7 linked regions of the Kluyveromyces lactis genome follow. The protein of the gene in region 1 interacts with the protein of each later gene in a biochemical or structural test. Links are inferred from orthologs where the notes say so. Each region holds a gene or a part of one and is shown in the gene's direction. Other genes may lie near its edges. The genes, in order: RSP5, KLLA0_F18216g, KLLA0_E17447g, BSD2, UBI4, PCK1 and SIC1.

Evidence for each region.
Region 2: of the proteins of RSP5 (region 1) and KLLA0_F18216g, one has a biochemical effect on the other in vitro, tested with the Saccharomyces cerevisiae proteins (3 studies listed by BioGRID, with this or other methods). The link is inferred for Kluyveromyces lactis from reciprocal best matches to the Saccharomyces cerevisiae genes RSP5 and RIM4.
Region 3: the proteins of RSP5 (region 1) and KLLA0_E17447g form a complex in vitro, tested with the Saccharomyces cerevisiae proteins (2 studies listed by BioGRID, with this or other methods). The link is inferred for Kluyveromyces lactis from reciprocal best matches to the Saccharomyces cerevisiae genes RSP5 and RCR2.
Region 4: of the proteins of RSP5 (region 1) and BSD2, one has a biochemical effect on the other in vitro, tested with the Saccharomyces cerevisiae proteins (3 studies listed by BioGRID, with this or other methods). The link is inferred for Kluyveromyces lactis from reciprocal best matches to the Saccharomyces cerevisiae genes RSP5 and BSD2.
Region 5: the proteins of RSP5 (region 1) and UBI4 form a complex in vitro, tested with the Saccharomyces cerevisiae proteins (6 studies listed by BioGRID, with this or other methods). The link is inferred for Kluyveromyces lactis from reciprocal best matches to the Saccharomyces cerevisiae genes RSP5 and UBI4.
Region 6: the proteins of RSP5 (region 1) and PCK1 form a complex in vitro, tested with the Saccharomyces cerevisiae proteins (2 studies listed by BioGRID, with this or other methods). The link is inferred for Kluyveromyces lactis from reciprocal best matches to the Saccharomyces cerevisiae genes RSP5 and PCK1.
Region 7: of the proteins of RSP5 (region 1) and SIC1, one has a biochemical effect on the other in vitro, tested with the Saccharomyces cerevisiae proteins (3 studies listed by BioGRID, with this or other methods). The link is inferred for Kluyveromyces lactis from reciprocal best matches to the Saccharomyces cerevisiae genes RSP5 and SIC1.

What each region holds. Positions count from the first base shown.
Region 1 is NC_006041.1:1,196,644-1,200,932, forward strand, and holds RSP5 (NEDD4 family E3 ubiquitin-protein ligase), read left to right. Parts: upstream 1-1,489; coding exon 1,490-3,949; downstream 3,950-4,289. Other genes in the region: DSE1 (Dse1p), read right to left, coding at 1-543. UniProt on the Saccharomyces cerevisiae protein: E3 ubiquitin-protein ligase which accepts ubiquitin from an E2 ubiquitin-conjugating enzyme in the form of a thioester and then directly transfers the ubiquitin to targeted substrates.
Region 2 is NC_006042.1:1,676,304-1,680,357, forward strand, and holds KLLA0_F18216g (uncharacterized protein), read left to right. Parts: upstream 1-1,427; coding exon 1,428-3,554; downstream 3,555-4,054. Other genes in the region: NPR3 (Npr3p), read right to left, coding at 3,996-4,054. UniProt on the Saccharomyces cerevisiae protein: Positive regulator of sporulation-specific genes and of sporulation. Required for premeiotic DNA synthesis and meiotic chromosomal segregation. May act in a nutritional signaling pathway.
Region 3 is NC_006041.1:1,550,360-1,552,759, forward strand, and holds KLLA0_E17447g (resistance to Congo red protein), read left to right. Parts: upstream 1-1,261; coding exon 1,262-1,900; downstream 1,901-2,400. Other genes in the region: UTP20 (Utp20p), read right to left, coding at 1-280.
Region 4 is NC_006041.1:1,664,471-1,667,107, reverse strand, and holds BSD2 (Bsd2p), read left to right. Parts: upstream 1-1,186; coding exon 1,187-2,137; downstream 2,138-2,637. Other genes in the region: SNF5 (Snf5p), read left to right, coding at 1-786. UniProt on the Saccharomyces cerevisiae protein: Required for homeostasis of heavy metal ions such as cadmium, cobalt and copper. Controls metal ion transport and prevents metal hyperaccumulation by negatively regulating the SMF1 and SMF2 metal transport systems.
Region 5 is NC_006041.1:74,448-77,233, reverse strand, and holds UBI4 (ubiquitin), read left to right. Parts: upstream 1-1,140; coding exon 1,141-2,286; downstream 2,287-2,786. Other genes in the region: ECM29 (Ecm29p), read right to left, coding at 2,550-2,786. UniProt on the Saccharomyces cerevisiae protein: Ubiquitin exists either covalently attached to another protein, or free (unanchored).
Region 6 is NC_006037.1:39,830-43,375, reverse strand, and holds PCK1 (phosphoenolpyruvate carboxykinase PCK1), read left to right. Parts: upstream 1-1,414; coding exon 1,415-3,046; downstream 3,047-3,546.
Region 7 is NC_006040.1:496,957-499,650, forward strand, and holds SIC1 (cyclin-dependent protein serine/threonine kinase inhibiting protein SIC1), read left to right. Parts: upstream 1-1,390; coding exon 1,391-2,194; downstream 2,195-2,694. Other genes in the region: BOS1 (Bos1p), read right to left, coding at 1-566, 682-684; GTPase-activating protein RGD2, read right to left, coding at 2,453-2,694. UniProt on the Saccharomyces cerevisiae protein: Substrate and inhibitor of the cyclin-dependent protein kinase CDC28. Its activity could be important for faithful segregation of chromosomes to daughter cells. It acts in response to a signal from a post-start checkpoint.

The sequences.
Region 1 (4,289 bases):
TTTATCATCGAAGGAAACTACGGTGTCATTATTCTGCGATTGCATGATATCTGTAGCCAGAATAGATTTTCCTGGAACAGTAATGGTTTGTAAACTATGGAGCAATTTCCCACCGCGAGCCTGCTCATTAATTTCATTATTCCGCAATTGGAACAACTGTAAATTATCCGATGTCTGTGATGTGGAAAGTAGAATGGTGTCCCTATCCAATGACATTGAAGTGACGTCCCTAGTGTCTTCTGACAGTTTCCAACAATCTGTCTTCAATTTTTTCGTGACAATGACATCGTTCAAATCACCACTAACCTTCCTTAGCAAGGAACTGTTCAATTTCGAAGCCTCTATCTTGCAATTCCGCCTGACAATAGTACTGTTCTCGTCATCGCTAATATCTCTTCTACTCTTCTTGACGATGATGGCGTTCTGTCTGAATATCTCTGGAGCCCTGTAGAATTCAGTCATAATTTTCGCAATATACAGTTTCTTATTTGACTTTGTGTAATGTTTGCACTGCAGAGAATAATTGATTGTTAACAGGTACATCCATTAGAGGAGTAAGAGCTGGTCACTTTTAGAAACGACATGTTTATATATGATACAGGGCAAATAAAAATAGCACTAGCAAACACTGAGCCAATCAAAAATAGGACCAAACGCAGAACAAGCAACAAAAATTAGAGAAAGGCACGTTACCTATTGAGTGTGTTAGGCAGCCATATGAGCAAACATCCTGTTTATGTTTGCAAGAGGTTTGTTTACCTGTAAACAAACCCAGCATCTTTAAAGCTGGCAAAGGCTTGTTTATATTTATGTCATTTTGGACGATATGATTTTTGTCACGTGATGCCCATAATCGTCCCATATGCACGTCATCTGACAGCAATACGGCAGATTCTTGCAACCTGGTGGCTACCACCGCCATTAATGCCGTTTCCGAATTTACTGACATACTCGGCGTAGCCTGGTATCCCTCTTTAGTACTCTTTTTCCAGGTTTCAATCTCCTCACGTGACAAGTAAAGGAGAAAAGAAAATTGTGATTTGCATATTTTAATTAAGGAAACAAAACAAGAACAAAGATACTTTACTTGCAAACAACATCCGATTTAATCATCAGATCAAGGTGCTAGAGGATAAGCAAACGTGCATTGACAGTGGCAAAAAGGACGGTACGGAAAAGGGTATTGAGCAAGGTATTGATCTGATTTTTCTTTGCTTCTTTTTAGAGGAATCATCAACTTTTTTTCTGGTTCTGTTTCCTGTTCTGTTTCTTTGCAATTACGACAATTAAAGAAGACAAAAGACAAAAAATAAAACCTTATAGGCTTTCTCGGGCGGTTTTATTTGTTTAATAATTATTGCTGTTACTACCACTTATCAGATATCTAGTGTTTGAAGACTTTTCAATTTGTTATTGAGATTCCACTTTGAAGGAGAAATTATCGGATTTGAAATTGACAAACCATTAAAAAAATAAAAAGCTGCGAAATATGTCTATCTCTGTGAAACTAGTGGCTGCTGAGTCATTGAACAGGAGGGATGTGTTTAGATCTCCTGATCCGTTTGCAGTTTTGACTATCGATGGTTCTCAGACGAAATCCACAGCGGCTGCAAAGAAGACGTTGAATCCCTACTGGAATGAAGTATTTCAATTCAAAAATGTGAGTGAAAATTCGATCTTAACTGTTCAAGTGTTTGATCAGAAAAAGTTCAAGAAGAAAGATCAAGGGTTCCTAGGTGTTGTCAACGTTCGTATTGGTGACATTCTGGGTCACTTGGACGAAGATACTGCCACTTCGAACGGTAGAGCTCGTGAAGAGACTATTACTAGAGATTTAAAACGTTCTAACGACGGGTTGTCAGTAAGTGGTAGAATAATATTGGTTTTGACGGTTCTCCCCAGAGCTGGCAGCCGTAATGGAGCTGCTGGTGCCGCAGGTAGTGCTGTTGCTGGTTCCGGAGCAGCTCGTCAATCGGATTCGATGACGAACGCTTCCACTATCGACAACAGATTGATTGCTCAGACTGTTGCTAACAACTTGCAAACTACTACATTAGACAACCAGGATTCTGCGAATGCTGCAGGTACCGCCAGTTCAGGTTCAGGTGCCGGTTCAAGTGATGCTGCTCCATCCGGTCAACCTTCGACAGCTCAATCTCAATCGTCAGCTAGCAGGCAATACTCATCGTTTGAAGATCAATATGGTCGTTTACCCCCAGGATGGGAAAGAAGAACGGATAACTTTGGAAGAACATATTATGTGGATCATAATACAAGGACAACAACATGGAAAAGACCCACTTTGGATCAATCCGAGGTTCAACGTGTCAACACCGAACTAGAACGTAGACAACACAGAGGAAGAACTTTACCTGATGGTGGTGCTCAATCAGAGGGCTCGTCTTCATCAAACGTTGCTGTTCATACCGGTACTGGATCTCAAACTCCTGCCGTAAACGGTTCAGCAGCTGCTACTTTTGCTGCCACTGGGGGTACCACATCGGGGTTGGGTGAACTTCCACCAGGTTGGGAACAACGGTTCACTCCTGAAGGAAGAGCGTACTTCGTTGATCACAACACAAGAACCACGACATGGGTCGATCCAAGAAGACAACAATATATTAGAACCTATGGGCCTTCCACAAATACCATACAACAACAACCTGTATCTCAGTTAGGACCTTTGCCTTCTGGTTGGGAGATGAGATTGACAAACACAGCCCGTGTATACTTCGTTGACCATAACACTAAGACCACCACTTGGGATGATCCTAGATTACCTTCTTCCTTGGATCAAAACGTTCCACAGTATAAGCGTGACTTCAGACGTAAGGTTATTTACTTCAGATCCCAACCGGCTTTAAGAATTCTACCAGGTCAATGTCACATCAGAGTACGCAGAAAGAATATCTTCGAAGATTCTTACCAAGAAATAATGAGACAAACGCCAGAAGACTTAAAGAAGAGACTAATGATCAAATTTGACGGTGAAGAAGGTTTAGATTATGGTGGTGTTTCAAGAGAATTCTTCTTTTTACTATCACACGAGATGTTTAATCCCTTCTACTGTCTATTTGAATATTCTGCCCATGATAACTATACTATCCAAATCAATCCAAACAGTGGTATCAACCCTGAGCATTTGAACTACTTCAAGTTCATTGGTAGAGTCGTCGGTTTAGGTGTATTCCATAGAAGGTTCTTGGATGCATTCTTCGTTGGTGCTCTATATAAGATGATGCTAAGAAAGAAGGTAGTATTACAAGATATGGAAGGTGTCGATTCAGAAGTCTACAACTCCTTGAAATGGATTTTAGAAAATAGCATAGATGGCATTTTAGATCTAACATTTAATGTTGATGATGAAAGATTTGGTGAACTGGTTGTCGTCGATTTGAAACCAAACGGCAGAGAAATCGAAGTCACAGATGAAAACAAGAAAGAATATGTTGAACTATATACCCAATGGAGGATCGCAGACAGAGTTCAAGAACAATTTAAGGCATTTATGGATGGATTTAACGAATTGGTTCCTGAAGATCTAGTCAACGTGTTTGATGAACGTGAACTTGAATTATTGATTGGTGGTATTGCAGAAATTGATGTTGAAGACTGGAAAAAACACACAGATTATCGTGGATACCAAGAGTCTGACGAAGTTATCCAGTGGTTCTGGAAATGTATCACTGAATGGGACAACGAGCAAAGAGCACGTTTGTTACAATTCACAACTGGTACATCGCGTATCCCGGTCAATGGATTCAAAGATTTGCAAGGTTCTGATGGTCCAAGAAGATTCACTATCGAAAAAGCAGGTGAAGTTCAACAACTACCCAAGTCACACACTTGTTTCAACAGAGTGGATCTTCCACCATACACTGATTATGAATCTTTCAAGCAGAAGCTAACATTAGCAGTGGAAGAAACCATCGGATTTGGACAAGAGTAGTTGAATGAATCTTTCAATCTTTTCAATACCCTGCACCTTCTCAATTATTCAATCAGAAAGCGCAAGCACAAACACAAGCACAGACATATATATGTTATAGATATATTGTTGCCAAAACATGTGTATATTATTACATAGAAATTTTTTTCTTAACCTCGTTAGGCCTCAACTTATGGTGCTTTGTTATATTTTATTGCCATTATCAGGTGTTACTTTATATAGGTATGCTATAATGTGGGAAGCAATTGACAACGAAGTATCTGGTTCCTAACCGACGGAGTTTTGTAATTGCCCAGAGATTGATATATCCAGCTTAAATTTTGGGATAATAACGAAAATT
Region 2 (4,054 bases), on another chromosome or scaffold:
CCTATCGAGTTTCATACTTGTTAGATCTGAGATTAGCTCCTCGCAATCAAGAATTCTGTTTTTACTTTGATTTCTTCTTTCTTTTGGAGTACAAGAACGCATAATTTGGGTTATTTCATATAGCTAGTCGAATTTGTCATCTGAAGCATTGGCCGATTTCATCATCTGATATTCTTTCTACGACGACTCTATTAGTTTCGCTGAAATCCTTTTCGGCTTCTGAGAACAGTCTCTACAGTTCTATTTTCAGATTTTTACCCGATTTGGCTTCGTTTGGTACTTTTTTTTTTAGCAGCCAATGCAAGTTTGAACTGGAAAAAGACCGTTCAAAGAGTCACAAGATAATACAGGGACAAAATATTCAACAAAGGAGCATTCTGAACTTTTGAAAGATAGTTTTATTTCAAAACTTGCCTCCACACAATTGCAAAACATTATTATATCCCTGTTTTTTATTATATCCAGTTTTCATATTTTTGTTTTGAACTCGTACACATATCAAACAGTGAAAACTGCACTCAAAATATAATAACCGATCAATTATAAATTGATTTAAGCTGCAATACCTTTCTCCCTCATTGTGTTCTCCTTCCTATCTTTACACAATATCTTTATTATCTTGTGTTTTATTAGCTGTTCTGATTCTCCTTCCTTCTCCTTCAATCAAATATTAATATTGAGGAGAGGAAACGAACCCATAATCCAATAGATCACCGACATAAGGCAAAAGTACACTCGCACGTTACAAGACTGTTGACCATACCGTACGAATAAAGGAGCACATTGTTTTATTCCATTACAAATTCCGAGATTATATCGCCTAGAAATAAAAGTAGGGGGCTATCTGGACATATTTATACTATTTGTCCACTTGTTTTTTCCCTCTCTTGGCCAGGTCACTTTGCCGCAGTACTTGAAAATTAAGACAAATTTTTTTTTGAGAAATAAAACCGGAGCTGAAGTTTCAGAGGAAAAGCGCATATTCCCCCCCAAAGTGAGAAAAAAATTGCACGATTTTCACGACGCAAGAAGATCCACGGCAAAAGGTTTTCTATTTCTCGGGATACAATATCTTTCTATCACCTCCATTCTCCGAACAAACAGGGCAAATCATAGATCGTTTTAAATAGGGTTTGTGACCAATATTTTCTCCACAGCGTGCCATATCAATAACGTTGCTCAGGTCAAATTATATTAAGAAGGCTAAATCATAACTAGCTGCTTCGAACCCACAGATTCATCGAACCGTTTTGATCAAAACAGTTTCTTTGTTCTGAAGTTTGTCATTTGAGGAATCAAAATTTGTCACATCACTATTGATTCATCCTTTTTACAGATCTGACTTTTTTTTCGTTTTTTGCACAGAGGAGGAAAGCCGAAAACCTTAATAGTGCCTAACGTCTAAAAAAAGAAAACAACAAAGAGTAATGTCATCCAATATGTCGAAAAACATCAACGAGAGTTTTAAAGACCGTATTGTGATTAATGATTCACCCAATGAGTCAGGTGAAATATTAAGGCAAAGGTCGAATGAAACTGAAAACCAAACCAAAAATAAAGAGGAAATTTCTTCAGATAAACCTGTCATCAATTTAGAAAAGGAATTGACTGCTCTTAAAATCGACCGTCAATCATTGTTAGATGATAATTTAACAAACTTGCTGCCAGAACAGCTTTCTGAAATAGCAAGTGAATCAGAAACAGATTCAGATGAGGATACTACTAATTTGTTGGATGAACCGTCTCCAAGATCCTCTGATGACCCTTCCTTTTCAAGACCATCGTCTTGTATTTTCGTTGCGTCTTTAGCGGCCACTCTTAGTGATTCCGAACTCAACGCATCCGTGACAAAAGAGTTTGCGAAATATGGTAAAATTGTGTCTGTGAAAGTATTGCGTGATCCAGCAAACAGGCCTTACGCATTTGTTCAATATGCATCAGACGATGAAGCATTGAATGCGTTATCTCAAGCTCAAGGTACAACGTTAAACAATAGAAATATTCGTTGTGAAAGAGCAAAGGTCAACAGAACTGTATTCATCTCGTCAAGTTTTGCTAATCCACTAGAGGGAAAATTAACTGTTGAAAAAGTGGTAGATTTGATGAGTAAATTTGGGGAATTGGAACAAGTTGTCCCTAGCAGAGACCAAATGTATAAGAAAAATTATTATCCAAGTGAGGTAGCAAACTCTTGGTTTATCCAATACGCTTATCGGGACGATGCGATTAGAGCATATTTGCAAATGAAACTCAATTACGAATACATGGTGGAATGGGCACAAAATGTCGATGTTCCTCCAAGGTTCAATTTGCTACTTTCAAAGGCTAAAATTTGCGAAAAGGAACGATTAGAAAGAGAACGATTCGGTAAGCAACCAATTTTCATCGATAACAAGTCCATATTCATAGGACAATTGAATTTTAAAGTTACTAAACCATTACTTTTGGAAAGGTTTTCAAAATATGGAGAAATCGACAATTGCAACTTGATCCACAAGCAGGAACAATTGAAATGCTTTGCCTTTATCAAGTACAAGACTCCGGCATCAGCTGCAAAAGCGTTGGAAAGAGAGAATCATTCAATATTCGTGGAGAAAATACTGCATGTGCAGATCAGAGAGGTATCTAATTCAAGGCGTAGTTCAATTGATTCCAATAAGTCATTCCAGGGGCCTCAGTTGAACTTGGCACCTCCGCCTTTGAATATAGGAAGGAGAGCAAGTACAGGGTCTTTTTCAAAATACATGTATCCATTACCAAATCATTTACAACCAAATCTGCCATCTCATTATGTGTATGCTACGATACAAGAACCAAGGAGAAATACTATAAACTCAGGCTCATCATCCTACCACAACCATAATCATGTTTTCGTTGGCAATACTGGTTCACAAGGTTTTTATAATGAAAATGGTAACCAGTATGTTTATGGCACAGAAAGCAAAAATTATCCCAACAAAACAGACAATGGAGTTGAAAAAGAAAATGCTTATCTAGAAGGTCCTCAGCAAATGCATAGTACCCACTTCAATAGGTCAAAAGACGATATCGAAAATAGCACAATTGAAGAAGAAGATGATGAATATGAAGTCGATGAAGACAATGATGCAGAGGACACACATTTCTTAGAACACGAGTCCAACTCATCATTCACAACTTTCAGCGCAGGCACTGGAACGTTCAAACATAACAATGCGCATAACACTGGTTCTTATCAAAAGAATCATAGTTACAAGAAGCGAAGAAATGTAGATGCACCAAGGCATGGTAGGATGGATCCAAATTTCTACTACGGCCCGCCAGTGTACTACCCAATGGAGTACTGTCCACCTTCTGGTAGCCCCGTTGGCCCTCCGCCCTCTCACTTGATTCAGCCGGGCGCTCACTTGACGGGACAGTGTCCACCTTCTCAACATTCCCCATTCTTTTATTACTTCCCTATGCCACCTCCTACACCGACATTTACTAATCCATTCCCACACGAACACCCTGGCGGTATGAACTATTTGGATAATTCTGTCTCTGGACATGATAAAGCAGACCTCGACTATTGAATATGTCATTTTCTTTCTACTTTTTTTTAGCGTAATCATTGCACTATCTTAGGCCCTCCTAGTGATTAACTCTTTTTCACCTTCTTTTTAGTCAACCACAGGGCATATACTCGGCACCGTCTTATAATATGTTCCCCAGTGGCGTTTCATTTGTACATGTCCTTCTCTTTTAGATAAATAAACTTAAGATATCATCTTAAACTTTACATGCATGGCATATATATATAGATATGTTTTCTGTTCGAGCTTCTCCGGAATTACAAACTGTTATGGTTACAACATGCAAAACAAAAAATATAAAACACAGTGAATTGATTAGTTATGACATAAAGTTATGCAACTCCAAAAATGGCTTATTATATAGTACTTAATTATTATGCATTGACAAAATCCTGTGCGTAGAATCGATTAGAAGAATAACAATGTAAGGGGATAGGGCATTTACCAGTGTTTTACTTCAACGATGTACTTACCTAAGGCCTGAAGCAATCTTTTTATCT
Region 3 (2,400 bases), about 350 kb from region 1:
ATTGCTCCAAATTCGCAAAGATTTCATCCTCATGGTACAAAAGTTGAGGCAAAGTTTGAACCAATTTCTCTACCGAATCCATAAAGGATCCGAAATTCCCACTCAAATTGATATCCTTCCAGTGTTCAAAAGAGGATAGAAAATGGGAGGTCTCTACATCATCATGAACCCTTCTATCCAAATTTCTAGCAGGTTCAATCTTCAAATCATCAATCTTATCCTTGAAAGATGAGTATCTATACCTCTTGGTAGATTTCGTTGTAGTCTTTTGCTTACCCATGGTTGATTATTTTAAAATGGGAAACAGAACAAGACTAGTCCTCAATGTTATATCAATGTACTGAAGCAGGTCTTGTATGACTGGTGATTGACAGTTACTGTGTGTAGACCCTCTTGTGTTTGTTGTTTATGCGATGAGATGAGATGAGATGAGTTTTCATGCTTTTCCAAATTCTGAAAATTTTCCCTTTACCTAGAATGGAACGTGAAGAAATCCAGTTTCTTTTTACGCAGGGCCGATCTGGAGGACGACTACGGCCACAGGACTGACCGCCAGCACTGATCATTTATGAGGTGTTTTTAACGGGCCAGGAAGGTACGATAGTTGTGGGAGTACTAATAGTAGAACCGCTACAATATATAAGTTGAGAGTATCCAACCTAGAATCGCGAGGTAATGATAGAACTTCAACTAATAAGAAACTCCATCGTCTCATTATACAAAAATTGGTAAACATTATGTAGCGCAGAAGTAGTGCTGATTTTGGAACTCAACTTGGTTATATTTGAGGCTCTGCAACATTTTCTGGACATTCGTGGTAAAATAGGTATATCCTTTCTCTTAAATTTCCAGTATTTCTCTCCATCGGTCTCTTGATATATTATATATACTGATATATATTTGCATATGGGGAATAGTCGTTTTTAAATGAAATTTGTCATGATTCGCGATCAGATTTCCTCGCTACTCTTGCTGCAACAAGGATATGCCAGCAGGACTCCAGAGGGCAGTCGATAGGAGTTTGAAATCCAACCTGCACACGAAGCTATCGCTGAAAGGAGGATTTCCCACTGGATTTTTTGTTACAAGTCGCTTCTCGTCCCCTTTTTTGTCTGTTGATATACAAGACCTTCGATCAAAAGGATCGGAAAACAAAGAGGGCTAACCCAACACCAAGAGCAGGACTCCTGAACTTACTAATTGAATAAACAAGGGAAGTATATCTTTTCCGGGTTCTAATATTGCTCTTACTTCGCCTGCTATGTCAACCACAACTACATCTACGCCATCCAGTGTTGTCAGCGCTGTTCAAAGTGCTACCACTACATCTGCTGATATTGATAACAACTGCTGGGGTCTCTCGTGTTCCTCCCACTGGGAATGGGCACGGTGGGTAATATTCGTTATATTCATGTTCATCTTACTGGCATTTGTCATCACTACGATAAGAATAAACTATATAAGAAGGCGTAACGGACAACAACCACTTCGATACGTGTCATGGCTCACTCCGCCCACATACCGACAATCAGAAGCTGTAAGAAATAGATCAGATGTCCCATTGGCAGATTACGTGCCTCCGTACACAGAAGAAGCAAATGAAAACGATTTGGGTTACTACGATCGTGATGGGATATTCCACGTGAACAGTAAAGCCGACCCTCCACCACCGATAGATGCGTATGTGCTAGAGCATCGAAACGATAGGGATACGGATATGATAGATTTGGAAATGCAACGGACCACGGCTACGGCCCAGCAATTGCCGGCATATAATGATGTACCTGAATCGGAGACTGTAGAAGCCTCTCGACAAAACCCTGAATCAGCCCAACAACGACGGTCATCATCTGTGTCAACACTAATCCCTGAAGCACCGGCTGCTACAAATCTCCGGTGAAAACGTAATACAAGCCATTAAATGATCTTCAACAAACTTTCTACACATCATCGACTCTCTCTCTCTCTCTCTCTCTCTCTCTCTCCATCTTCACCTACCTATTTACAGAAAACGTGTATAAAATGTCACTCTTCTTCCATACGTATTTAATATCAAACTAACTATGTAACAATGTATTATAAGGAAATCCAGGGCATTCGTATTCGGCTAATATCCTGTGCAATGAGTCACACTACAACATCTTCTTTGCATCGGCTACTATTGTACTATGTCTGGTCATAACAAGGCTTTTCTGTTACCAGCGATGGCCGTTTCATTCAGAATGACCTTGCCAAGCCCTGAAAAGACGAGACCCTATAAACACCCTACAAAAGACTATATCCACGATTACCGCGCTGATAAAACCCTTGGTATGGAATCCAGTTCCATTTACTAACCGACGCTGTGGCTCTCGATCGACGTTGGGGATTTCGAGTATTAAAAGAGCCAGCTGCCGTTTC
Region 4 (2,637 bases), about 470 kb from region 1:
TTTGAAAATGTGCAGAGGTTCGGGGGCGATGATTTCAGAATAAAAATCAACCTAGATATTGTCGTTGGACAACATCAATTGATAGATACCGTTGAATGGGATGTGTCAAATCCAGATAATTGTCCAGAATCGTTCGCGGAGTGTTTATGCGAAGAACTATCCCTTCCGGGTGAATTCTTAACAGCAATTGCACATTGCATTAGAGAACAAGTTCACATGTATCACAAGTCATTATATATGGTTGGTTACAAATTTGACGGTAGCCCCGTTGAAGAAGACGATATCAGAACAAGATTCTTGCCTGTACTCACCTTAGCAGACGTAATGAGACCACAAAAGGATACGTTTTTATACACACCTAACTTATTACAGATATCTCCCGCAGAACTAGAACGTTTGGTTAAGGATAAGGACAGAGACACTAGAAGGAAACGTAGACAAGTTCGTTTCAATAGAAGAGGCAATACAGAAAATCACCCATCGTCCGGAAGTACACCGCAACTACCCCATGATGCAGAACTTCCTGATCTTGGGGATATCCCAAAAACGTGCCGTCAACTACTTCCAACAACAACTTTGCCTGGAGGTATTGATGTTGGTCCAAGTACGTTATCGTTCCAGCCATCAACTAGAGTCGAATATTTAGACAGAGCTAAAGCAACTCCAAAACAAGAATTCCAACAGGAAGTAAGAAACTCATCAGCATGCAGAGTTATTATGCACGACGTTGGGAAATCTTTACTCGTCACTATAAAGCTACCAAAGGCGAAGACAACCATTCAATGAGTAATTCGCTATATATATATATATGTACATATGTATTTATGTGGTACCACCTGTAACAATTTTAAGAAATACTATGATAAATAAGCTAGAAGAAAGAGCACTGAAGATAGCTATGAGAGACCGAACGCCGATGATCGCGGGCTTACTCGAGGGTCTTGACACGCACCTCTACGTATATCGATATTTATGTGTGCCTGTTTCATTCTTTATGGTGTAAGCCTCTAAATTTCATAAACAGCTCAAAACCAAAAAATATATTTAGTAATGGAAACGTTAACATTTGAACGAACCAACCCTTTTAAGAAACTTGGTATGCAGAGGCCACAAACTCATCAAAGCAGCCATATTTGAGTGTTACTCGAGGGTAGTAGAGTTTACTGAGATTATCTACGCGGCGAGTATGTCTGAGCATTCGGAATTCGTAGCCGGAAGTGGCGTTGGCAGGAGCCAAGATGAAGTCGGTGGATCTTCCTCAGTGACTTTGTCTCCTTCACAATCGCAGTCGCAGCTGCAAACACAGCCAGAAACCGAATCTTCAAGAGCTGATGATGTGGAAACAGGGACAACTTCGTCGTCTTCTAGACTGCACCAGATGAATGGGCAGTTCCAACAACATTTGAACTTTGTTGCCCGAAAGTTCAATATATTAGATAGACTGTTTAGAGGCGGCAGTTCAAGCGAGCAAGCGATGAGGTTACAAGTCGGGGCGAGTTCTGATGGTGTATTCAGTAATCTTATGGCGAAACCTGAAAGGAACGGTATCAATGGGAATGGGGAACAGGATAAGCCTCCTACGTATGACGAGGCTGCGGCTGATATGGCTCCACCATATTACGGTATAGACGACGATGGCGTTGGATTGTATTACAACGAAATTTGCATCGACGGCCTTCCAGTTGGGAATATATTCAATTTCTTATGGAACGTTGTGGTCAGCTTCAGTTTCCAATTTGTCGGGTTCTTGTTGACCTATATCTTACATACATCACATGCAGCTAGGCAAGGGTCCAGGTTTGGACTTGGGGTAACTTTCATTGGATACGGATATTCCATGATACCGAACGATGTTTCAGGAAAGATAGGAAAGGATAATGAATTGAACAGGTTTACATTTGATAATCCAGATTCGTTTGAAGAGATTCGTCTATATACAAGTACTTCTACTCAGGATGAATTCGAATCGGACCTTTCTCATGGAGTAATGGAAAAGACGCGGCACACACCGGCATTGGCCATATTCGTTATACTGTTAGGTGGGTTCATAATAATCAAGAGTATCTGGGATTACATTAAGGTCAAACGCATGGAGGCACGCTTCTTGCAAGATGCAACAGCAACAGCAGAAGTTTAAAATCCTCTTTTTGACTTCCATGATATTAGCATTAGCAGACTAACTGCTTTCAACCTTTTCTCATATATTCAATTCGTTTTTTGCCCTATTCACATTTTTATTCACTATTCTATTTTGCAGCTTAAAGACACCCTTTGCAGGGTCAAAACTCTCGAGTTTAACACTACTACACTCATAAATAAATGGTTCATCCCATCAGAATAAATCAAACTGTAATCCTATCCATTAAGTTGTTGTGGATCCAAAATTAAAAAAAAATACACTATAATAAAACAAACAGGCTGTCTCTATGATTGTTCCTCTTCAGAAACTAACAAAAAGGAAATTTTTGTCTTCTCTTAATTCAGTGCACCCTATGACCAAATTACTCTTTTAATCTATTTCATGATACAATGGTTCCTTTTACCTGATGCTATTCGGCATGTTTGATGTCTCTCATGTGGATATATGCAAACATGTGTATTATATTTTTTTGTATATCATAACAATATAGATGGAAA
Region 5 (2,786 bases), about 1.1 Mb from region 1:
ACACCGCTATCATAAAAAGAGTCGAAAAAAAAGTGTCATCTAGGACTATAAGACAAGTAATATCGAAGAGATTCTGGGCAGTCCGAATTATCCCGCCAGGAACCTCAATGACAGAGATATTTGGCCTGGGTATGTTCCGGGAGCATCTGAAAGGTCAAGAATGAATTTAGGAGAAGCCAGGCAGATAAAATATGATGTATGTTACCCTGATTTAATCACGTGGATGACTTCGAGTCACTTTTTTCGTCTGTCTGTATCTTAGATTCTCCCCGCAAGTCTAAAAAAAAAGGATAAACTTCATTGTTCCATGAGTTTCCATGGTTACCTCTGCATATACACACTGTACTGCAGAAGGTATCAGTGGATACAAAGCGGTATGCTCTTTACTCTGAACAATCAAAGTTAGCAGTTCATTCCATATATCCCCGCTCTTCGTCATGCAATCATAAACCTCAAGTCATGGCGATCTGTAAGCCGGAGAAAAGATTCATTGCAAACAGTTAAAGATACAAGGCTGAAATACAGAGATGGCTGCAACGTAACAGATTCCAAACTGCCGGTTTTCCATCGAATTCCCTCTCGGGAAATTTTTCTTTTCAAACGGCCACCTTAGGCCGAGCGAAACTGATTACACTGGATGCTTTTATATAAATAGTGATCACTTGGGCGGCCGCCTTTTTTTCTCTCGTATTTGCCACTTCTGATTGTTCTTTCCCCCGTTTATTCTCTAAATACGTTTATCTTTTTCTAAGATATTATTCGGGTTAGATACTATTACTACCTATATCGCATTCATATATCTATTCTGAAAGTTTGGACAGCATAGCAGCTATCATTATTGTTCTTATTTTCATTTTTTGTGCTATATTCTCCGTTATTAGTAAGAACTGATAGGGAGATAAAATAAAAGAAATAAGCGAACAAGTTCCTTTTTTTTTAAAAAAAAAAGGGAGTATATATAAAAACAAAAGGGTTATTTTGGCAGTTTGTTTCCTGATATTATTAACAACATCATATTGGTTAAGAAGGAGCATCAAGAGTTTCTCTCATAGAAGATACTGACTCAAGGTTATACTATTTCACCCCAAATTATTTACCCCCCCCCCTCTCATTCCCCTTAAAACTAGATCAAGAGAAAACATGCAAATTTTCGTTAAGACTTTAACTGGTAAGACTATCACTTTGGAAGTTGAATCTTCTGACACCATCGATAACGTGAAATCGAAGATTCAAGACAAAGAAGGTATCCCTCCAGACCAACAAAGATTAATTTTTGCAGGTAAGCAGTTGGAAGATGGCAGAACCTTGTCTGACTATAACATCCAAAAGGAATCCACTTTACATCTTGTCTTGAGATTAAGAGGTGGTATGCAAATTTTCGTCAAAACCTTGACTGGTAAGACCATCACTTTGGAAGTCGAATCTTCCGACACCATCGATAACGTCAAGTCTAAGATTCAAGACAAAGAAGGTATCCCTCCAGACCAACAAAGATTAATTTTTGCAGGTAAGCAGTTGGAAGATGGCAGAACCTTGTCCGATTACAACATCCAAAAAGAATCCACTTTGCATCTTGTTTTGAGATTAAGAGGTGGTATGCAAATTTTCGTCAAAACCTTAACCGGTAAGACCATCACTTTGGAAGTCGAATCTTCCGACACCATCGATAACGTCAAGTCTAAGATTCAAGACAAAGAAGGTATCCCTCCAGACCAACAAAGATTAATTTTTGCAGGTAAGCAGTTGGAAGATGGCAGAACCTTGTCCGATTACAACATCCAAAAAGAATCCACTTTGCATCTTGTTTTGAGATTAAGAGGTGGTATGCAAATTTTCGTCAAAACCTTAACCGGTAAGACCATCACTTTGGAAGTCGAATCTTCCGACACCATCGATAACGTCAAGTCTAAGATTCAAGACAAAGAAGGTATCCCTCCAGACCAACAAAGATTAATTTTTGCAGGTAAGCAGTTGGAAGATGGCAGAACCTTGTCTGACTATAACATCCAAAAGGAATCCACTTTACATCTTGTCTTGAGATTAAGAGGTGGTATGCAAATTTTCGTCAAAACCTTGACTGGTAAGACCATCACTTTGGAAGTCGAATCTTCCGACACCATCGATAACGTCAAGTCTAAGATTCAAGACAAAGAAGGTATTCCTCCAGACCAACAAAGATTAATTTTTGCAGGTAAGCAGTTGGAAGATGGCAGAACCTTGTCTGACTATAACATCCAAAAGGAATCCACTTTACATCTTGTCTTGAGATTAAGAGGTGGCATCTAATGGTAAAGATTTATTTCATATTTCCGATTACTGGAGTGAAACTCGATAGGGAGTTTATTAACGAGCTTGAGACCACGCAAAGCCGTTGTATCATTTATACTCAATTCAATTTTTTTTTTTTTTGCATTTTTTTTTTTTCCTTACATTCTTTGGATAAAAAGTTTAGGGTCTTGTATATATTATATACATTTTCAGAGATACATAACAACTATGATAATGTTATAAATAGTAGAAGATAGTAATATATCATCCGTTGGCAATTTCTACTGAGATATTCCAATATTTAAAGCTTCAGCTTTCAATACTGAGGAGTCATCCACTCTAAGAATCTCCAAAATGCCAAAGTCGACCATGGTATTGGTGTGGGGGAACTTTTCTTTCAATAGCCCACCATACCTTATCAGCTTTATCTTGACACTTTCAATAACTTCTTTCTTGTTGCATAGAGCGTGGCCATATTTCCAGATATCAATGAAAATGTGAGATACATCATTTGAGGA
Region 6 (3,546 bases), on another chromosome or scaffold:
AATGTACCAAGAGAAGACTCTCGGACATGCTCATCTCAACCCCGGGAAGGGAAAGGTTACAACCGATAAAATTACCTAAGTACGTATGGATGGTATTAACAAGCTTCTTTGTCCCTCTTCCAGAAATGTCCTTTTATTTGAGTTTGTAGATGAGCCCGGGCTTCGGAGTCCAATGACACTGAAACGCTCGAAGAAACCACTTAATCTTGATTATATAATCATTATACGCCACCAACTCCGTTCCATTCTCTTTCCCCGGTCCACCATATACGGCTGTACACTAGCATGTCGATTCCCCACGCGATCGACCGGGGAACCCGAAATCAATGAAGAACGTAGAAAGTAAAATGAAAATCGAAAAAAATAAAGCTACGAAGGTTTGCAGGAAGTGAGCAGATGCCCGGGAATATCACCCGTACATCACATTTCAATATCAACCCGGGAAGTAAATTTTGTTTTTTTCCAGTATCCTCTTGCCCCACACGCTATCTACCCAGAGGCATCCCGGGAGCGGAGCGGTACAACAAATTGCCAAAATTTGTCCCCCTTCTCCTACTTACATCCTGTGAACCAAAAGAACAACAGGGGGGAAAGGAAAAATTTTCGAGTGCCAGACATGAACTTGGCTGGCAAGGTTTTTCCTTTCACACCACACTCAATGTTGAAACGTACATCTTTCGGAACTATTTTTCGAGCAATTGGGCGTTATTCCCAACAATCCAAGTACTGGTCTGTACATCCCGGTCTTATTGAATACAAAAAAATTTAGAGAAAGTGCCGTATAGACTGAAAAGTCCCCAATTTTTTTTGTTCTTGCCTTGTGTGTTAATTAGTTTTAATCAAATTCCACGCTGGGACAAACAACGGAACGGACAAACGAAAAACATAAAACATAGACATTCAGGACATTTCAGGACATTTTATTTTGAAACGAACAGACACATAGATAGATATCAAAGAAAACGTAGTTATATCGATACCGAACCAAGGGAGAAAGGGACTCTTGTTTACTGAAATCGCCTAGAATGAGTCAGATAACTCGCTGGAACATCAATTATCCATCTAGTAATTAAGTGCAATTATTTATTCTCGTCCTGTCATATCGTGAATTGATTAATATTCATCTTTTATGATCATATATAAGGGCGATGGTTTTTCATGATTTAGTTTGATGGATACATTTCAAGTGTTGATAAGGTACAATAGTAGCTATATATTATCTCAGTTGTATTGCAATAAAAGTAAACCCAAAATTCAGTGATTCTACACATTGAAAGCACTTTAATAGTAAAGCCAAAATTCATACTATACGATAAATTGACTCTTCTCCATTTAAGAATACTCAATTAACCGTGTTATCGACTTTTCCTCTAGCGCGACTAAAAAGAAAGAAAATAAAACCTATTATCAAATAATGTCACCAACTAAGACACAAAATTCTGCTGAAGAGAATATTAGGGCTGAGCTTGGCCTTTCTGCAGAAGTCGTCACCATCAGACGTAATGCTCCAGCTGCTTTGTTATATGAAGATGCTTTAAAAGAAAGAGACACAGCCATTTCCAATGCTGGTGCCTTGATTGCCTACTCTGGTGATAAGACCGGAAGATCTCCACGTGATAAGCGTATCGTTGAAGAAGAAACTTCAAAGGATAACGTTTGGTGGGGTCCAGTAAATAAGCCATGTTCCGAAAGAACTTGGGAAATTAACAGAGAAAGAGCTGCTGATTACTTGAGAACTAGGGATCACATTTACATTGTTGATGCTTATGCTGGCTGGGATCCTCGTTACAGAATCAAGGTCAGAGTGGTTTGTGCTAGAGCTTACCATGCCTTATTCATGACGAACATGTTGATCAGACCATCAAAGGAAGAACTAGAAAATTTCGGTGAACCTGACTTCACCGTCTGGAATGCTGGTCAATTCCCTGCTAACACACATACCTCCGGTATGACTTCTAAGACTACTGTGGAAATTAACTTCAAGCAAATGGAAATGGTCATCTTGGGTACCGAATACGCTGGTGAAATGAAGAAGGGTATTTTCACTGTGATGTTCTACTTGATGCCTGTAAATCACAATGTCCTCACCTTACATTCTAGTGCCAACCAAGGTATTCAAGATAATGACGTTACTTTGTTCTTCGGTTTGAGTGGTACTGGTAAGACTACCTTGTCCGCTGATCCTCATAGACTGTTGATCGGTGACGATGAACACTGTTGGTCCGATCATGGTGTTTTCAACATTGAAGGTGGCTGTTACGCTAAGTGTTTGGGATTGTCTGCCGAGAAGGAACCAGAAATTTTCAACGCTATCAAGTTCGGTTCTGTTTTGGAAAACATCATTTACGATCCTAACACTAGAGAAGTTGATTACGAAGATTCTACAATCACAGAAAACACTAGATGCGCTTACCCAATCGAATACATCCCAAGTGCTAAAATCCCATGTCTAGCTGATCACCATCCAAAGAACATTGTCCTGTTGACTTGTGACGCTTCAGGTGTTTTGCCTCCAGTATCCAAGTTGACCCCTGACCAAGTTATGTACCACTTCATCTCTGGTTACACTTCCAAGATGGCTGGTACTGAACAAGGTGTCACTGAACCAGAAGCAACTTTCTCCTCTTGTTTCGGTCAACCATTCTTGTCTCTACATCCAATGAAATATGCTACAATGTTGGCTGAAAAGATGGCCGAACATAACGCTAACGCTTGGTTAATCAACACTGGTTGGACTGGTTCCTCTTACGTTGCTGGTGGTAAGCGTTGTCCTTTGAAGTACACCAGAGCTATCCTAGATGCCATCCACGATGGCTCTTTGGCTAAGGAAGAGTATGAAGTTTTGCCAATCTTCAACTTGCAAATTCCAAAGGCTGTGGGTGACAAGGTTCCAGCTTCTCTACTAAATCCAAGTAAGAACTGGGCTGAAGGTGAAGCTAAGTACACTTCAAATGTCAAGTCATTGGCTAATTTGTTTGTAGAAAACTTCAAGACCTACCAAGATAAGGCTACCGAACAAGTCTTAGCTGCTGGTCCGCAATTATAATCACAATGTCCTCAACAGAAGTGCTATACCAAAATAACGAAAAGAGGCAGAGTGAAATATTATTGAGTAATATTTTCTCTTCAACATAGTTTCACTTTTTCCGTTACCTTCAACCAGACTATCTCAACCGTAGCCGGTTCATTATTATTAATATAAAATTCTGAGATTCATAAAAAACCAACTAACAATAATACACATACCATTGGCTCGGATTATTTGATTCTTGCATTTAGAAACTATCTTTTTCTCGACTACATATATAACAAGAAAATTCTACAGATATCTTGGGGTTTTTCTCATTCGTTTTTCTATTACTTTCGTCCTTTTTAATTTATCACTAACAGCCTTTATCAATATGGTTATAGTACATACATACGCTTTAGTATCTTTTAATCTGGATATACTATTTATTTATGGGAGGAATTAAATCATTAATATCATCCTTAAGCGAAGAATAAAAGCAGGTTAAATAGATCTTTAATCTCATCCCATATATGCTG
Region 7 (2,694 bases), on another chromosome or scaffold:
TGTTCCATGATATCTTCCAAAGATTCCTGTCCCATCTGTAATATTCTGTCCAAGTGCGCGTTGCCTCTCTCAAAGATCGAGTTCTCTTTCCTCAATCCTTCATATAGTGGTAAACCAGCCGCCGAATTGATAGTCATTCTTTCACTGTTCTGATCTAAGGCGCCTATTCCGAAAGATGTTTGCGGAGGAGCATTGATGTTCCTTTTATTCATCACGGTCTCTTCCACCATTGATGCTTGCTGGTTGAACAACTGATCTCTCGCATTAATTTCTGAGTATTTTTGCTTCAATTCGGTAAATTTCTCTTTTGCATCTTCGTAATCCTGTGTTAAGGTCTGAAGTCTCGTCTCATACTTTAGTTTAGTTTCGTCGTTGTCATCTGAACTATTTATTTGATATTGCTTGTATTGTTCCTTGTACTGATGAAGCGTTTTCTCGAAAGAAACAAGGGTTGTGGCGATCGCCCCTTGCAAAGAGATCGGCGCTGTTACGAGCTCTTTCTCAAATTTACCCAAGTCTTTATTTAGAAGACTTCGCTGCTTGATGGCATGATTATACAACGCGTTCTAGTGATATCGTGGGAAACAATAATTAAGGTAAGTTAGTAAATAAGTAACACATACGCGACGCGTGTCTATAAATGTAGAAATACAATTAGAGCAGCGCTCCAGCGAAACATACCATCTTAGCCCTGTTGTGATCGCAAAAATTCTTGATCGCTAATGAAGATCCAAAAGATTCAAGAAAGGAATACTCTTGAGAAATACAGGAAAATGCTGAGTCAAACGTTGAGCGTCAATCGTCAATTCTGATCGATCTGAATTATCCCAATGCGTATGAATGTTCCATAAACTTTCTTAGTTTCCAGTGGTTCCACTGCTCACAGACGCAATCCTTGTTTAGAAGTTATTTACTGCTACTCAAGTATGACTGCTAAATTGTTGCTGGTTCAATATTATTAGTGGTTCACATTAAAAAAAAAATTAAAGATGCTGGTTTTGAGTCTCACATATATCTATATATAAAGATAGTTTAACAGCGAACCATATCCAGCATAGAGCGGTTGCATACGCACCTAAGTAATCGAATCAGAGTCTCTTCATATCAAATTCCTTCTTGACGATAGTGAGGTTACTGGAAACTGGTTTCAACCTACTCTGCTTTTTGCTTCATTATAAGTTGCCAGATTTTCAGTCCGTTTTGTTTTAGACAGAAAAAGGGATATCATCGGTATAGTATACATTCTATACCATCTTTGCTACTTTTCATTTAGATCTCATCAACACACCGATACATCTGAAAACAATATCAATAGCTTTCAATTGGTAATACTAGAGTTTATCCTCTTTTTTTTTTGCATTCTACGCATTACACTCTTATTTCCATAATAATGACCCCAGCTACCCCTCCAAGTTCTAGGAATAAGAGATCAAATAAGACAGATTTGCTGCTCGCAACTCCAGAGCGAGCCGCGGAATCTGATTCCTCTGGCATGGTTACTCCGGGGACAGTTAGAGTAAAGGATAGATTGCAGCCACCTACTAGACCCATGAATTTAACAAGTCCATGCCCGGCATTAAAGACACCTGAATATACCCCACATAAGAACAAACATACGAAACGCAGGATAGAGTTTGACCAGGAGAAGTTACAACCTGTCAGTAGGGTCTTGTTCGGATCGGATTTCCAAGTAGAAGAAACTTCAAACAACAGGACTTTGCTACCACCAAAGAGAACCGGTATAATGGAGTCTTTCAAAGGCGTTCAAAGTTATAATATCAATGATGAGTATGCTGTCAATAACAAATTCAAACTTGCTAAACAAGAGCCAGGAACTCCAAGTGACAAGATCACCACCTTTGAACTTGCTAGAAAATGGCATAACGAGTCTGGTCTGAATACATCGCAATCAGAAAACGAAGAAGAAAATATTCATATTGAACAACAACCTACGGCAGTCAACCAACATAGTAATTTAGAGAATCCATTTCTTTCGAATAATATTGCTGATGAAAAACTGCGAAAAGAACGTAAAGAGAAGATGCTACTTGAGGACCCTGATTTGGAAGATACAATCACTTATGTGAATAAAGGAGGGAAGGTCGTTTCTAAAAGACATTTGACTGACGATGAGAAACAAAGGTTTAAACCTACGAGACTCTTTGCTGAAGAAATAGATAGGCATGATGGGTAGGTAAGACACATGAATAAAACGGGTTTTTATTTTTTATTTTTAACTATAGCTAACGGTACCGACACAATTCATAAGGAAAGAAGGGTATGGAATTCCCCTGTAACACTACATAACAAAAACTGCTAAAACATCATATTTATAAATACAATACTTACGATAATTTTCGTAGAATATTTCAGTGAAATAAGATTGTCGTTTTTGATCGTCGCAGAGTGTTAATTCTATGTAAAAGTCATATATATTAACAAAAACCCTTCATCAACCCCTGGATGATGGATTTGATCCTTTTCTCTTGAGTTCTTTGAAGATTTTCTTTCTATGCCTCAACAAATCTTCAAATACTTTGTATCCAAGTTCATTAGCTGTTGGCAGAATTGGATGTATTAGGCAATTTGCAAACTCTTGGCTAATGGCATCCCGTAAATTTTCTGCAAGTTCTTGACTTTCTTCAGATTTATTCATTCTAATGATTTCAATTAGTCTCTCGAAATGGGTTGTGA